Linked DNA regions of Rattus norvegicus. The protein of the gene in region 1 purifies or fractionates together with the protein of each later gene. This does not show direct contact. Links are inferred from orthologs where the notes say so. Each region holds a gene or a part of one and is shown in the gene's direction. Other genes may lie near its edges. The genes, in order: Amot, Pals1, Mpp7 and Lats1.

The links.
Region 2: the proteins of Amot (region 1) and Pals1 purify together in Homo sapiens (affinity purification with mass spectrometry; 6 studies listed by BioGRID and IntAct, counting the BioPlex papers as one, with this or other methods). This does not show direct contact. The link is inferred for Rattus norvegicus from reciprocal best matches to the Homo sapiens genes AMOT and PALS1.
Region 3: the proteins of Amot (region 1) and Mpp7 purify together in Homo sapiens (affinity purification with mass spectrometry; 3 studies listed by BioGRID and IntAct, with this or other methods). This does not show direct contact. The link is inferred for Rattus norvegicus from reciprocal best matches to the Homo sapiens genes AMOT and MPP7.
Region 4: the proteins of Amot (region 1) and Lats1 purify together in Homo sapiens (affinity purification with western blotting; 3 studies listed by BioGRID and IntAct, with this or other methods). This does not show direct contact. The link is inferred for Rattus norvegicus from reciprocal best matches to the Homo sapiens genes AMOT and LATS1.

Annotation. Positions count from the first base shown.
Region 1 is NC_086039.1:113,782,340-113,785,907, reverse strand, and holds part of Amot (angiomotin), read left to right. Parts: intron 1-709; coding exon 710-942; intron 943-2,034; coding exon 2,035-2,955; intron 2,956-3,283; coding exon 3,284-3,381; 3' UTR 3,382-3,568.
Region 2 is NC_086024.1:103,326,631-103,330,811, forward strand, and holds the start of Pals1 (protein PALS1), read left to right. Parts: upstream 1-1,334; 5' UTR 1,335-1,428; intron 1,429-3,891; 5' UTR 3,892-4,048; coding exon 4,049-4,181. UniProt on the Homo sapiens protein: Plays a role in tight junction biogenesis and in the establishment of cell polarity in epithelial cells.
Region 3 is NC_086035.1:60,137,171-60,140,839, reverse strand, and holds the end of Mpp7 (MAGUK p55 subfamily member 7), read left to right. Parts: intron 1-2,911; coding exon 2,912-3,091; 3' UTR 3,092-3,139; downstream 3,140-3,669. UniProt on the Homo sapiens protein: Acts as an important adapter that promotes epithelial cell polarity and tight junction formation via its interaction with DLG1. Involved in the assembly of protein complexes at sites of cell-cell contact.
Region 4 is NC_086019.1:4,008,252-4,011,819, forward strand, and holds part of Lats1 (serine/threonine-protein kinase LATS1), read left to right. Parts: intron 1-153; coding exon 154-336; intron 337-537; coding exon 538-644; intron 645-1,928; coding exon 1,929-2,438; 3' UTR 2,439-3,568. UniProt on the Homo sapiens protein: Negative regulator of YAP1 in the Hippo signaling pathway that plays a pivotal role in organ size control and tumor suppression by restricting proliferation and promoting apoptosis.

The DNA of each region.
Region 1 (3,568 bases):
AGTCGATATTGAGACCAGCTACATCAGTAGAGTAGGGCAAGCTGTTTATTCAGAAATGATGAACTTGATTGTGTAGCCTGCCGACCTCCTACCTCTTTACCCCTGCCAGTCTGTTACCTAAGGTTTGATGTGATGGCCTTAATAATGAACATTCTTGCTAACTGTGGAGTTCCAGGTAGGGTTGCTTTTTCCTGGATTTTATAATTGTTTTCCATTTGTATTCCATTCTGAGGTATTCCTTGTAGCAATAATTCTATAATACAGATAATCTGTCAACAAAATATCTGGGGATTATGGCACCCAGTGTCTTTTATAGACTCAGTGTCATTTATTACTACCTGGAAGTCATGCCTTACTAGTAGAAGACTCTTATCTTCTCACTGAACTTACTGTTATTATGGACATACTCCTTTACTAGAGAATGACTTCTTTCATACATGGCCTTTCTATTTGCCAATATTTGACTTTGATCTTCTAGGGTGTCCACAGAAATTTTTAGATGCTCTCTTATGTCTACTTGGCAGTCCAGAGGATGTGCTATTTTATTTTCCTTTAAGCCTTAACACACTGACCCTTGCCTCCAACTAAGAATTCACTACACCAGCCCTTAATAGAAAGGATAATAGGAATACAAATCCATGTAGGCGGTGAGATTAGAATGGAGAAGTAGTAACCAAGTCTCTGTGTGTGCTTTTTCTTTGTCTCCTAGGATTAAGACCCTCCATGCGCAGATTATTGAAAAGGATGCCATGATCAAGGTGCTGCAGCAGCGCTCCAGAAAGGAGCCTAGTAAGACAGAGCAACTGTCATCCATGCGGCCAGCGAAGTCTCTGATGTCCATTTCCAATGCTGGATCAGGCCTGCTTGTACACTCATCTACATTGACTGGTGTGCCCATCATGGAGGAGAAGCGAGACGACAAGAGCTGGAAGGGGAGCCTAGGTAAGAAAAATGATAGGAACAGAAGCAAGGGTACAGTGACATACCTAGAAAGTATCATGGCTCTGTTCCACGCAGCAAGGAAAAGGACAATGGTCCAGCTTCTAGAGAGGAGAGTTTGGGGTTATTTTTTTCTCCTCATGGAACTAGATGCATAAGGAGGACTCTGAAGTCTCATGGTGAGAACAGTAACTGAAAGACTGAAAATATGAGAATCCTGTGTTCTTTAGGGTTGGGAAAGAACCGAACTTGACTTTTATGTAAAAAAAAAAAAATTCTTGTATTTGGCTTTTGCCACATGGGAACTTTGTTCAAAACTCAAATGGACTTTATCTCAGGCAAAATTCAAAATTACAGCATCGCTATGTTCCTTCCTCTCCTATGGAAAGAGGACCCAAAATTCTCTTAAGGCTAATGAAGTCACGTGTCAGCTTTTCTTACCAGAATGTTCAGATAAGAGAACAGAATGTACTTCTTCGTTCAATTCCTGTCCATTTTATCCCCTCTAATTAAAGCCTCGGAGTACCTTACATACTGAGACACATTTTTGATCCAAAGGAAGCAAACAAATGATATATTTCAAATCTTTTGGTGTTTTTAACTCCTTTCTTGATCCAATGAATGCAGTATCCTTTAGTCAGAGTTCTTTGAGCCCTGGTCATGTTTGGAACCGTACGTTACACAACTCAAAACACCCTTATTGGTATCCACAGACTCCCCATGCCACTGAGTTATTTTCATCTCTCTGGTGAATGTGGGGTATTATGACTGGTACAAAAAAAAGACCTCTGACAAGTTGGTCTTCCGAAATCACTAATGAAAAAGAAGTGTAACTGATACCCAGGACACTTAGAGGTTTAATGTTATGTTGTTAATTGAATAATAAAGACAAGAAGGGATCTAAGTCCAAAAGCAACTCTTAGCTGGGATGTAAGAGAGAGAGGATCCCAGAGGTTCACTAGAGGCAAAACCAATCACGTTTGGAAGAAAACTATCAAATATTTTCTTTTCCTCAATTCCCGAAAAGGGCAAATAGTTAATCAGTATCTAGAGAAAAATCACCTCCCATCCTCTTGTTCCTTGCTTCACCCTTAGGCATTCTTTTGGGTGGAGACTACCGTGCTGAGCCTGTGCCATCCACACCTTCCCCTGTGCCTCCATCTACTCCTCTACTCTCAGCTCATTCGAAGACTGGCAGTCGCGACTGTAGCACCCAAACTGAGCGCGGATCAGAGTCCACCAAAACTGCAGCTGTCACTCCCATCTCGGTTCCAATGGCTGGTCCAGTTGCTGCTGCTGCTCCTGCTGCTGCCATCAATGCAACTGCTGCCACCAACACTGCCACTGCTGCCACCAACACCACTATCATGGTAGCTGCTGCTCCAGTTGCTGTTGCTGCTGCTGCTGCTCCAGCTGCTGCTACTGCCACCCCATCTCCAGCAAATGCTGCTGCTCTTGCTGCTGCTGCTGCTGCTGCTGTCACTCCAGCTACTCCTGTCTCTGCAGCTACCTCTGTCTCTGCAGCTACTTCGATCTCTCAGGCTGCTCCTGTCTCTCCAGCTGCTCCTGTCTCTCCAGCTGCTCCTGTCTCTCCAGCTGCTGCTGGTCAGATTGCAGTTGCTGCATCTCTTACTTCTGCTACCGTTTCTCCAACTCCTGCTGCTGCTACTGCTGCTGGTGCAGCTGCTGGTGCTGGTGCTGGTGCTGGTGCTGGTGCTGCCGCTGGTGCTGCTGTTGCCACTGTTGCTGCTGCTGCCACCACTACTGCTATTCAGGTTGCTCCAGCTACTTCGGCTCCGGTTCCATCTCCAGCTTCGATTCCGGCTCCAGCAACGGCTCAGGCTTCTGCTCCGACTCCGACTCAGGCATCAACTCCAGCTCCGATTGAACCTCCTACTGCAGTTCCGACTCCAACTCCAGCTTTGGTTCAAGCTGAGGGTCCTGCAAGTCCAGGTGCCAGTTCCGGACCACGCCGTCTGTCTACACCAAATCTGATGTGCAATCCAGATAAGCCAGGTAGTCACAATTTTCTTTAGCAGGCATCTTCTGGTGGTGTTCTCGGGTGTACATCTATCAGCTGATGCCCGCCATTTTGACAGAGTTGAACACTGCATGATCCAAAGGGTCAGAGGAAAGAAAAGATGTTCTGGAAATGCCTTCTGTCACTCGCTAAAATGGGAATGGTCAAGAGCAGAGGCCATTTTTCAGTAAGGAAAAGGATAGGCATGTCTGTAGTGGCAAGTTCCATTTAGAAATGAGTTTTGTAATGGTTCTTAACATGGTTTGCTGAAAGTTAATCTTTCCTTTCTGCCTAAGTCTTTTCTAACCCTTCGTTTCCATTCAGATGGTCCTGCTTTCCACTCCAGCACTCTGGAAAGGAAGACACCCATTCAGATCCTGGGGCAAGAGCCTGATGCAGAGATGGTGGAATATCTCATCTAAAGGCCACATCAAGCGCTGGAGTTATCAGCAAGAGTTCTTTTTAATAATGTTTCCCTTTCATTTGTTTAATCTGGGGTGAAGATGGGGTTGGGAGGTGGGGATGATTTTTCTAAAGGGACTTTTTATTGGACTCTGGTAGTACATAAGTAATGCCATAGAAATGAATTCCAATCTATTTTGGAATCCT
Region 2 (4,181 bases), on another chromosome or scaffold:
GTTGCCTGGCATTTGAACACAGAGTTGCATACATACTAAGGAAGAATTCTAGTGACTGAACTGTATACCTGACTCTTAGAGATGCCTTCCTACCTTAATAAGATTTTGTTTTCCTTTGAAATTGATAAATAGGCAAAACTTACATTAACATTTGATTTTAAGTGTTCAGTTTAGTGAGTTTTAAAAATAGCTTATGTAGGGCTGAAGAGAAGGCTCAGTGGGTGAAGGTGCTTGCTGGTAAGCCTTTCAAACCCAGGTTTCATTTTTGGACCCACATAGTAGAAGGAGAGAACTGAGTCCCATGAACTATCAAGTAAGAGTTTCAGTCTCTCCACACCTTCTTTCAGTGCTTAGTACAGCTAGTCGTTTTAATTTTAATGGTTTTGTTGTTGTTTTAGTTTGGTTTCTATTGCTGGTAAATACAGTGACCAAAAACAGCCTAGTGGAAGAAAAGTTATATTGGTTCTAGGACTATGAACTCAGGGCCTCACTGTTTCATGGCAGGCACTTTACCAACTGAACCATCTCCCTTTGACTAGCTGCTTCCCCTTCCCCCTCCCCGCCATCATACACACATACAGACACACGCACGCCTGTACGCAGCCTCTGATAGCACCAAAAACAGGGTCTCATGTAGCCAAGGTTGGCCTGACCTGACACAGAGACCCATGCTGGCAATAAAAGCATCTGTCATTAAGCCCAGCATGATGGACTTTTTTTAAACTTGAGTTTGAGGTTTGTCTCTGCTATAGCCTGTTTTAGAGCTTCCATTTTCTTATTTATTCATTATTTCGTGTATGTATATGTTCCTTGTTATTTATGTCAGTTAATGGACATTTGTAGGTTCTCTGCTTTGGCTATGTTAATAACATCGCCATAGATGTTTTATACTATTGTACAGATTGTATATTGTGTAGGTGATATATGTTTTAGGTTTATACCTAAGAGTGGAACTGGTAAGATTGCAGCGTTGGTGTTTGCCTGCATATGTGTATATAAGAGTGGTGGATCCCGAAGAACTAGAGTTACCTGTGGGTGCTGGGGCTTTAACCTAGGTCTTCTGGAAGAACAGCCAGTAACAGCTGAGCCACCCTACCTCTCCAGCCCCACTACTTACCATTTTCAGTAACACTGATATATAGCACATCGATTTTAATTACTATCTGTCAGTGACTGGGATGATAGTAGTATGCATTTATAACTGCAAAAAATCCTATCTGCAAGACTGAATGTTAGGCTGAGTTAACCTTTCTTCTCACTTCTCCGTGGAAGACTGCAGATTTTTATACTTGGTTAGTTGCATGCTTTTACACTCAGTTAATTATTTCCTTTTCAGTTTTGCAGAATAAGAAAGCTAACCTGAATATTGGGGGGAAAGACAGAGAAGAGAAACAAGGATTGAAGACGAGGTTTTCCAGTTTGCATAATGTAAGTTCTTTTCGCTATTCTTGGCCTGAGTTCTGTATTAGCTGACAAAGCTGTTTCTATGGTAACATAGTCCAGCCTCTTAAAATGTCAGATGAATGCTGATCACTTAAAATGAGACTTTCCAGCTGCTGGTCAAAGGGCTTTACATGCCAGAAAAGAGAAGCGAAGATGAACAGGGTGGGGGGAGACAGGGTTAGACTCTACTTAGGGAGTGAACATATTCATGCATATGAAGTCTGTCTTTCCTGCCTCCCTCTGCCTAAAACTTAAGGTTATATAAGAAACAATTTTTCCCACTAAACTGCTTTGTTTTAGCTTTATACAAATGGTCGTTTTTGGGTATTGAGGTTTGCATTCGGCCATCTGTATCATTTGGTCATTGTAATTTCCATTTATCTGCAACAGTTCTACTTCTGTATGGATGGTTGTCCTTCAAAAATGCATCACAAATAACTATATCCTTATAACTTCCTTGTTTCTTATCACTCTGTTTTAGATGTCTGTATCCTCTTTGAACTTAAAATAGTCTTAGTTTAGTTGAACAGATATTTCTTGGACATTTTCTCTAGCACACATTTTACGCTAAGTACTAGACATGTAAAAATAAGACATATAAGGAAAATGTTTTCTAATGTATTAGAATCTGATGAGGAAAATAGTCGTTTAATTTCTTTTTCTGTCTCTCACTAAACTAAAACTTAGGAGAGAGAACTAAAATAGAATGTTAAGTTGATAATACTAGTTGCAGAAATCTACTGAGAATAAAAGACTAGATCCATGTAGACAAGTGTGATAATAGTCTAACCATGAGAATTCTGATGTAGATAATTATGTATAGCTTTCTTCTATGATTTGGCATAGTGAATAGATGTACTTTTTAAAATCCACTAATAATAAATGAAAAAAGTAAGAGTTCATTTTTGAAAATGTATAAACTCCTAGGTTTTTAAAATTAGCCATAGCAGTATAGTAACTCCTACATAAATTTATTCACTTATAATGAAAACATTAAATAAACTGTATCCAGTTTAATTTATACTTTTTATAATTATTATAATGTATAAAAGCTTAAGGATCACCTACTATAAATTTCATAGCTCTCATTTTAATGGGAAAGAAGACAATCTAATGGTATTGAGGTCATTATATGTAAAAGACTTTAAGTTTAGGTGGAGGATAATCTGTCTGTAAAAATATAATTTTAGTCATTGGTGTAATTCATATCTATTTTCCTGACTGTCGGCCTTGGTGCTTCTTCTAGAGCCTATGTAGGTGTTCACTGTATTACCTAGTTTGTCTTTTCTCCCTATTGCATTGTAAGGACATATGCAAGAAGGTTGACTAGTATTAGGAATACTGCCTGAAAACTTGGATTTTACTGAGTCAGCACTGTACTCTAAGCATACTTGCCGAAATGATGCTCAGCTCAGGGAGGCAGTAAGCTCATTAGTGTAAATATTTTTAAAGCCTGGGCAGAAGAAGCTAATTAAATTTAATGTGTGGGTTTGCACACATAAACAGCCTGCATATTTATGCCTAAGTGGGTTGATGAAAAGCTAGTACCATTGAATAAAATACGTTTTTATTTTAATTTTTGTTGGAGGACTCTTAATATAGAATCAAGTTAATATTAATAGTACTTATCTATATTTTATAACTTGCATACATTATGTTTTTTAAAACTAAGAGAAGTTCTGTGAAGTTAATCTTCTAAGTTACTCAGGTTGAGAGAAAAGCTGGCTGTCTTAAACAACAGGCTAGGAAACATGGTAGAGGGAAATGAAAGTCCAGTCTTCCTGTCTGTGTGCTCCTTCTGCTACACGTGCTATACCATTCCCTCTGAATGACTCCTTATGAGGTTCAGCTTCACTTTCTTCATGTATCGCCAGTTATAAGACTGATATTCTGTGTAGTCTTTTTCTCATCTATGTAGTTTTGTCCTTGGATACCTTTGCTGATAAACCTTATTGTTCTTTGGGCATCTTTTTCATTGCAAAAGCCACTTTAAAAAAAATAGTTTTACCCAGAAATACTTTTCTGTGTTTCAAGTTAGCCACTAAGATGGCTTGTGCTATGTACTAAATTATAATCAGCTGTTCTCACAGGTACTAACTCTGTGTTTTAATTAAGCATAAAGTTGAGATATTTAAAGTTGCTGTTGAAATGTCTATCCACAAAGCACCTATTCTCTACAAAACTTATAGCAAACCAATTCACTTTTCTCACTTTGCTAAACTTTTCAGTGTATCAGTTTTCTTAGCTGCAAGATCAAACAGTACGCTTCATAGTTTTGAGAGGCAACTTTAAAAAAAAATAGTCAATGTCCTCAACATTGGAGTCTGTATTAATAACTATATCAAGTACCTGATATTCTCTATATTGTGTAGAAATTGGAAATGGGCTATATAAAGTTTGTTTTTATATTACAATTCTTACACTTTTCCCTCCATCTTTCCCTCTTAGATTTGCCTCATGGATACATTTCATAGCATTATTATGTGATATGAGAAGTTATTTTTCTTTTTTGAAGTAACATGGATTTTATACTACAGAATCAAGAGAATTGGCTTTATAGGAAATTTTGATATATAAAAAGTGATAGAGGTTTTTATAGATAACCATGACAACATCGTATATGAATGGGCATGTGACAGAGGAATCAGACAGCGGAATAAAAAATCTTGGTCTTGCATCACCAGAGGAACATCCGAAACACAGAGAGATGGCTGTTGACTGCCCTGGAGATTTGGGCA
Region 3 (3,669 bases), on another chromosome or scaffold:
GATGATTTTTTTTCTCAGCCAATCATTTATATTATTTAACCTTTTTTAAAGCTAAATGTTTCTAAATAAGTTTCTGTTTATTTCTTAATAGTCTAAACAAAAACTGTAATAATTTGCTTTGTTGCCTTATATTTTACATTTTAACACAGTAAAAAGTAGAAGTGTTGCAGTAAAAATTTAAAAAGAAACTTTTTCTAACAGTTCCCACGCTCTGGCTGCTACTCTGCCACATGGTCCCCAGGCTGTCCACTCCCGGCTGTCTCCCTTTTAGCCCCCTCTCTTCAAGGTCCCCTAGGCGGTAGTTACCACACCTGACACACACACATATCTCGTTCTGCAGGCCCTGTGATTTCTCACTCCACCAGGGCTACAGAACCAGATCCGCACGCTCCAGCCGACTCTCTGCCGTTACTTTCACATGCTGTCCTCTTTGGCATGGTTAAAATCAAAGTTCCAGAAACTTTTAATTTAACATTTAGATTTATATGTTAAATTCTCCATCCTCAATACATCCACAGAATAAATTCACTGCCAATTACTAAAGATAGAAACTGCCCACCTAGACAAGATAGAATTGACCCAGACCACCTGGATCGGAATCATCTTCCTCCGTCGTCTCTGTTAGCCAATTCATGGCTCTAAGTTTATTGTTAGCGTGCTTTCAAGGTAATTATTAAGACAATTAATGGACAACAGTCCAAATTACCTTATATAGATAGATGGTTTTCAAAACAGAAATTCACAAAATATGACATTTAAAGTTATTTATTTTTTGTTGAGACATATCTGCTCCTAACACGTCCCCTGTGGTGGATTTAACGAAGAATTTGGGCATCTCTACCTCCAGGTGAGGTAATACCTTGTGACAGCATAGCCACTGGGCAAGAATCGCCTCAACTCATCTACAGACTCAATGCTGTCTGAGAAGGACACGTTACAGAATAAGTTGACTGATAATTTCTACCAAACCAGAGTGGTCAGCCCTTCAAAATTCTGTGTTTCAGAAGTCTGTCAGATGATCCTAGGCCAGAAGGCTGAAGACTTGCTCTCATGTGTTGCTAACGGGACTGTGCTAGTGGAAATTAGTCTCTACAACCTGTCTCAGTTCGGAAGCCATGTTAGGCTTCCTATGTTTATAGATATTGGGTCGTTCTCAGATTTCTGATGGGGTTAAGACTAATTATAGTCTCATAGCCTACTCAGGCTGTTTAACTTTGAAATTGGATGTATTGTAGATTGAGAATTTAACATATAAATCTAATTGTTAAACAACAAGTTTTTAGAACTTTGATTTACCAGACTATGGGGGATGTGAACCAAGTTTCTGGTGGGCAGAGAGACAACCTGTCTCAGTTCTGGAAGCCGTGCTAGGCTATAGAATGCCTGAGGCTAGCATGGCGTGGTGCCGTGATAGAATGGCACGCAGAACACGATGTATGTTGGTAACAACCCACCAAGGGGACAGTGTATGAAAGCGACTGACAGAGAAACAGCCAGAGTGTGTGGCTTCTGAGGATCCACACCAAGTGAGAGTGCATGGGAACTGGTTCTGCTGCTTATTTAATTACACCACAACATAGAAGCACCATTTGGGTCATAGGATCAGGAGGCCTACTCTGTCTCCTGATGACATTCATATTTCTTACAAATGCCATTAGATGCTATGGCTTCAGATCTTTGTGACTGTTCTGATATTAATCTCACTGAATGAAAATGAAGATCATTATTCAAATTTTTGCTAAAATTATTCAAGGTTTATTTTCTATCAGATAAGGATGTCTCCCAGTAGCAGGGTTTGAGAAAATAACATGAAACACAGGAGAAGGTAGGGTTTATATAGCTAAAAAATACCTACAAGACTAGGGGATTTTCAGTGGTTGGGGGCTTTCCAGAGGAATTCTGGTTACATAAGAACTTGGCTGAACATTCTAAAATTATTTGGAACGTCTTATCTTACCAGGGTGTGGAACATGACAAATTCCAGAAAATGGGTGAAGACCTAGTCAAATTTATATTTTATAGAAAACAGGAATGAACTTATTTTGACCTTGTAATAAGATGGCTTCTAATTTTTAAGAGTCAGGCTGGCCCATCATTGACTCTTGGCAAACCTTTCATTGTTTTTGTTTTCATTTTTCTCAAATTTTACCTTTGAGTAAAAAAATCCAACAAATAAATATTAACCCCCATTTTTCTTTCATCTAATTAATTTTAGTTTAGACTTTGTTAATCTGTGAACTGTTGATTTTAGTTATAAAGCATGGGTCTTGCTTTTGACCAATTCCTGCGCTTTGTTCTAAAAGGATGACATTTGTCCTTAAGAGACAGATGCTGTCACATGTTACTAGTTATTTTAAGTTGTTGACTAGCACTAAAGTTATCTCTCAATAAACATAATTTGTAAATGATGGCATAGTCTGAGGATGTGGCTTATGCTTTTTAATGTACAATCCTGACTTTTATACCTAGCTAAAATAGCACCTGGCATTTTAAAATCTATGTGGCCCCTCAGGGCTTTTGAAACACTTTTACCGGACCACAGAAGGGGCATTTGAACTATTATCTTGTAATGCTTTCAACATTAAGAAAGTAGTTTGTATTATGCATTATTTCTTGTGAACAAACATAAATAGTGCCAAGCCAGAGCAATAAGAGTCAACAGCACCCTTGATATCTATGACAATAGCAATGTGTCCGTGTAATGGTGAGTTAGGTATGACCCTGAGGGGAGTTTAATTAAAGTTGGTGTTAGCAGTTAAAACCTCTAAAAAAGTAGTGAAGGTGATTTTGGTTTTTTACTTCATTTAAAGTCTGAACACATAACAGCTTTAGGTAAAGTCACTATAGAATGTTTTCATTTATGTGATGCAGTTGCCTGGTTACTTAATTTGTCATTATTTGTTTTTAATAGGAAGAAGACTTTCAAGAAATGATCAAATCAGCACAGATAATGGAAAGTCAATATGGCCATCTTTTTGACAAAATCATAATAAACGATGATCTTACTGTAGCATTTAATGAGCTAAAAACAACATTTGACAAACTAGAGACTGATGCCCATTGGGTCCCAGTGAGCTGGTTACATTCTTAACTCAGGGGAAATGTCCTTAACTGTCTTTTTGCAGAGTTGCATGGTTAGGTTAACTACCATGTTTTTGGTAGGATTTTTTTTTTAATAATCTGTATCACTGTCATAGATGTAAAGTCTTCAATGTCAAAGTCAAAATTCCAGTGCTGGTTTTGTTTATGTCTTTCACAGCCTTATTTGAAGCACACGACTATACAATCTAAGTCAAAATCTGCACAGTGCTATAGTTTTAGCAAAACTTTTGTATTTCCTTGTTTTCTTTAATCTATTTCTGTCTCTGACGTGAGAGGCAGTGTGTATCAGAGTTCATGCCTCACCTGCGCTCAGGTGTACTCACAGCCCTTCACTGTGCATGCTCTTGGTTGAAAGCATGGGGTTGGCAGCCTTGAGCAGATCCACAGATTTAACTAGGCTGGAAATAAGGATCTGTCCTTTCAAAATATGCCCTAAGTATGCACATCTTAAAACAAAGAAGAAATTCAAATCTTTTCTTGAGGAAGTAGCTCACATATTATAGCTTAGGAAATCCTTAGGAATATATATCGGTGATGCCGCCAATATTATATAAGGGAAAATCTGAT
Region 4 (3,568 bases), on another chromosome or scaffold:
GTAATAGTAATACTGCCAGGGATGTGGTGTCCTTCACACACCTACCCATCACAGGAGAATATTACTAGCCCTGCATCGTGACCAGAGGTTAAACAGACTTGACGTTACTGTTGTCCTTACTGCTACATTTGATTTTTTCTTTTTCTTGCACAGGGGATCACCCACGGCAAGATAGCATGGATTTCAGTAGCGAATGGGGAGATCCTTCCAACTGTCGGTGTGGGGACAGACTGAAGCCACTAGAGCGGAGAGCTGCTCGCCAGCACCAGCGATGTCTAGCTCACTCTCTGGTTGGGACTCCCAACTATATAGCACCTGAAGTGCTACTACGGACAGGTGAAGCATCTACTTTTTCACAAGTATTTCAGTAGTATTTTAAATCAGCCAATCTTACTCTAGAATATACCTGTTCCTTTCAGGTTAAAGATAAAAGTCTTGATTATACATTATAAATTGTTGACTTAATGCTAATGTTTGTATTCTGAACATTTTTTAAAAGCATTCTTGTGAATAACCGAATAATTTTGGTACTTTTAGGATATACACAGCTGTGTGATTGGTGGAGTGTTGGTGTTATTCTTTTTGAAATGTTGGTGGGACAACCTCCTTTCTTGGCACAAACACCATTAGAAACCCAAATGAAGGTAAGGTATAGGACCTGCATGAAAAATCCTCAGCCTTCTACCATGAATCTTTAAATGTGCTGTGTACTTATGTATCTTTCCTGAATCATTGAGACAGAAGTATTTCACATTCTTTCAGATATTGTTTCGTTTTCAGACAGGGTCTCTCAAGTGTGTTGCTCTGCGTGACTTGGAATTCACCATATAGATCAGTTGGCTTCAAACTCATAGAGATCTGCCTTTGGCTTTAGATTTTTAAATGTTTACATAGACCCACAGATTTCTTAGGGATAGGTCCCATGTTTAAACATGAAGTTCATTTGATATGTCAAATACGATGATATTTTTATATTACAGTTTTAGTGTACTTTTATTTCTATATGGTTTTGTTTTTTTGGAGTGGTTGAATTCAAGCCCAGGACCTTGGATATGCTAAACTAGTGTGCTCTGCCATTGAGTTGTACCCCAGTTCCTTTTTGAGTGCAATCCACATAGCTCAGGTATAGAGTTCTCTACTTATGATATCATATCAACATTAAGAATTTTTATGTTCTTTATTTATTTAATGTATATGAGTACAGTGTAGCCATCTTCAGAAACACGAGAAGAGGACATTGGATCCCATTACAGATGGTTGTGAGCCACCATGTGGTTGCTGGGAATTGAACCCAGGACCTTTGGAAGAACAGCCAGAGCTCTTAACTGCTGAGCCATCTCTGCAGCCCCCGAATTTTTATGTTTTAAAATGTTTCAGATTTTGGAGTTTTTGGATTGGGAATGTTCAACCTGTTTAAGCCTAGCATAGCTGTACACACCTTTAATTCCAGGACTTGGTAGACAGAGGAAGATCTGTGAGTACCAGGACAGCCTGATTTACTTATTAGCAAGTTGCAGAACAGCCAAGGCTACTAGATCCTGTCTCAAAACCCAAACAGATGTCTGGGCAGCAGTGGCCCAGGCCTTTAATCCCAACACTAGGGAGGCAGAGGCAGGCGGATCTCTGAGTTAGCGGCCAGTCTGGTCTACAGAGCTAGTCCCAGACAGCCAGGGCTACACACACAAAAACCCTGTCTCAAAACACAAACCAAAAAATATCAGACAAAGCAAAGCAGACAACCTTATTATGAGTCTCCTTACGAGGAGAGGATACAAGAAGGTGTGTTTTTTTAGCAGTGATTTATTATTAAAGATAAAGTACCATGCAAATTACTTAGAAAACCAAGCAGTCCAGTAAGACATTTGGTACAAAACTTAGGAAATTGTTGTGTTTCATCTCGTCCTAATTTTTAAAACTCTTCTTTCAAGGTTATCAACTGGCAAACTTCTCTTCACATCCCACCTCAAGCCAAGCTCAGTCCTGAAGCCTCTGACCTCATTATCAAACTTTGCCGAGGACCAGAAGACCGTCTAGGCAAGAACGGTGCTGATGAAATAAAGGCTCATCCATTTTTTAAGACCATTGATTTCTCTAGTGATCTGAGACAGCAGTCTGCTTCATACATCCCCAAAATCACGCACCCAACAGACACGTCCAATTTTGACCCTGTTGACCCTGATAAGTTGTGGAGCGATGGTAACGAGGAAGAAAATATCAACGACACTCTGAACGGATGGTATAAAAACGGAAAGCACCCTGAGCATGCTTTCTATGAGTTTACCTTTCGGAGGTTCTTTGATGACAATGGCTACCCATATAATTATCCAAAGCCCATCGAATATGAATACGTTAGTTCCCAGGGCTCAGAGCAGCAGTCCGATGAAGACGATCAACACACAGGCTCAGATGTAAACAACCGTGATCTAGTGTATGTTTAATAAACTGGGAGATAATTGTAAAAATTTGCAGAAAGGCCTGAAATGCAGGGGTTTTTGAGGTTTTGAGAAGATTATGCAAATGTGACAGAGTTTGTGTGCTCTGTGTACAATATTTTATTTTCCTAAGTTATGGGAAATTGTTTTAAAATGTTAATTTATTCCACCCTTTTAATTCAGTAATTTAGAATAAATTGTTATAAGGAAAGTAAATTATGAACTGAGTATTGTAGTCAGTTCTTGGTACTTAAAGTACTTAAAAAATAGTGCTCTGTTTAAAAAGAGAAGCCTGGTATGTTTTGTATATATGTTCAAGAGTTTTTGAAGATTTTTGAAAGACAGTTTTATCTTGCTTTAACCAAATATGAAACATATCCGTATTTCCCTTGTAACTTTGGTTTTAGTTCACACTGAGCTAAAGAAATCAAGCCATCATTTTAGAAGCTGTTCCTAGAGTAATTCTAATCTGGAAGTCGTGTCCTGGAATCACAAATACAGAGCAAAAACAGCATGTTCACTAGAAATAATGCAGTCTGCCCCTTCCCTCCTCAGAAATCTTTAACCTAGCATTTTTCTTTCAAATACCGGCTTTAAAAGAAGCCAGAGCACTACTAGTTTTGTTTCTTTATTGGTTTTAATGCTGCTTTTGAGTTTTTGTTTTATTTTTTGAGTTTTTGTTTTTGGTTTGTTTTGGTTTTGGTTTTTGGTTTTGAGACAGGGTTTCTCTTTGTAGCTCTGGCTATCCTGGAACTCGCTTTGCGACCAGGCCAGCCTCAAACTCATAGAGATCCACCTGCCTCTACCTCCCATTTGCTGGGATTTAAGGTGTGTGCCACCACCCACCACCCACCACCCAACTGTTTCCAGTTTTAAAAGGGAACAAAGTTGCCATAAATTGAATTTTCAAACTGAAAAACTAAGGTCTGTAATATTTGTATCTTAAAATTTGAAGAAAAATCTCCATCCCCTAAGCAAAGAAATTATTTTCAGTTTGTAAAATTGTTATTAGAATTTTTGTGTATGTACTCACTAAGAAAGTACATTTTCCAGGGGCTGGGGGTGTGGCTCAGAGGGAGAGCACTTGCCTAACACACACAGAGCCCTGGGTTCAGGCCCAGCCCCTGCCACATACG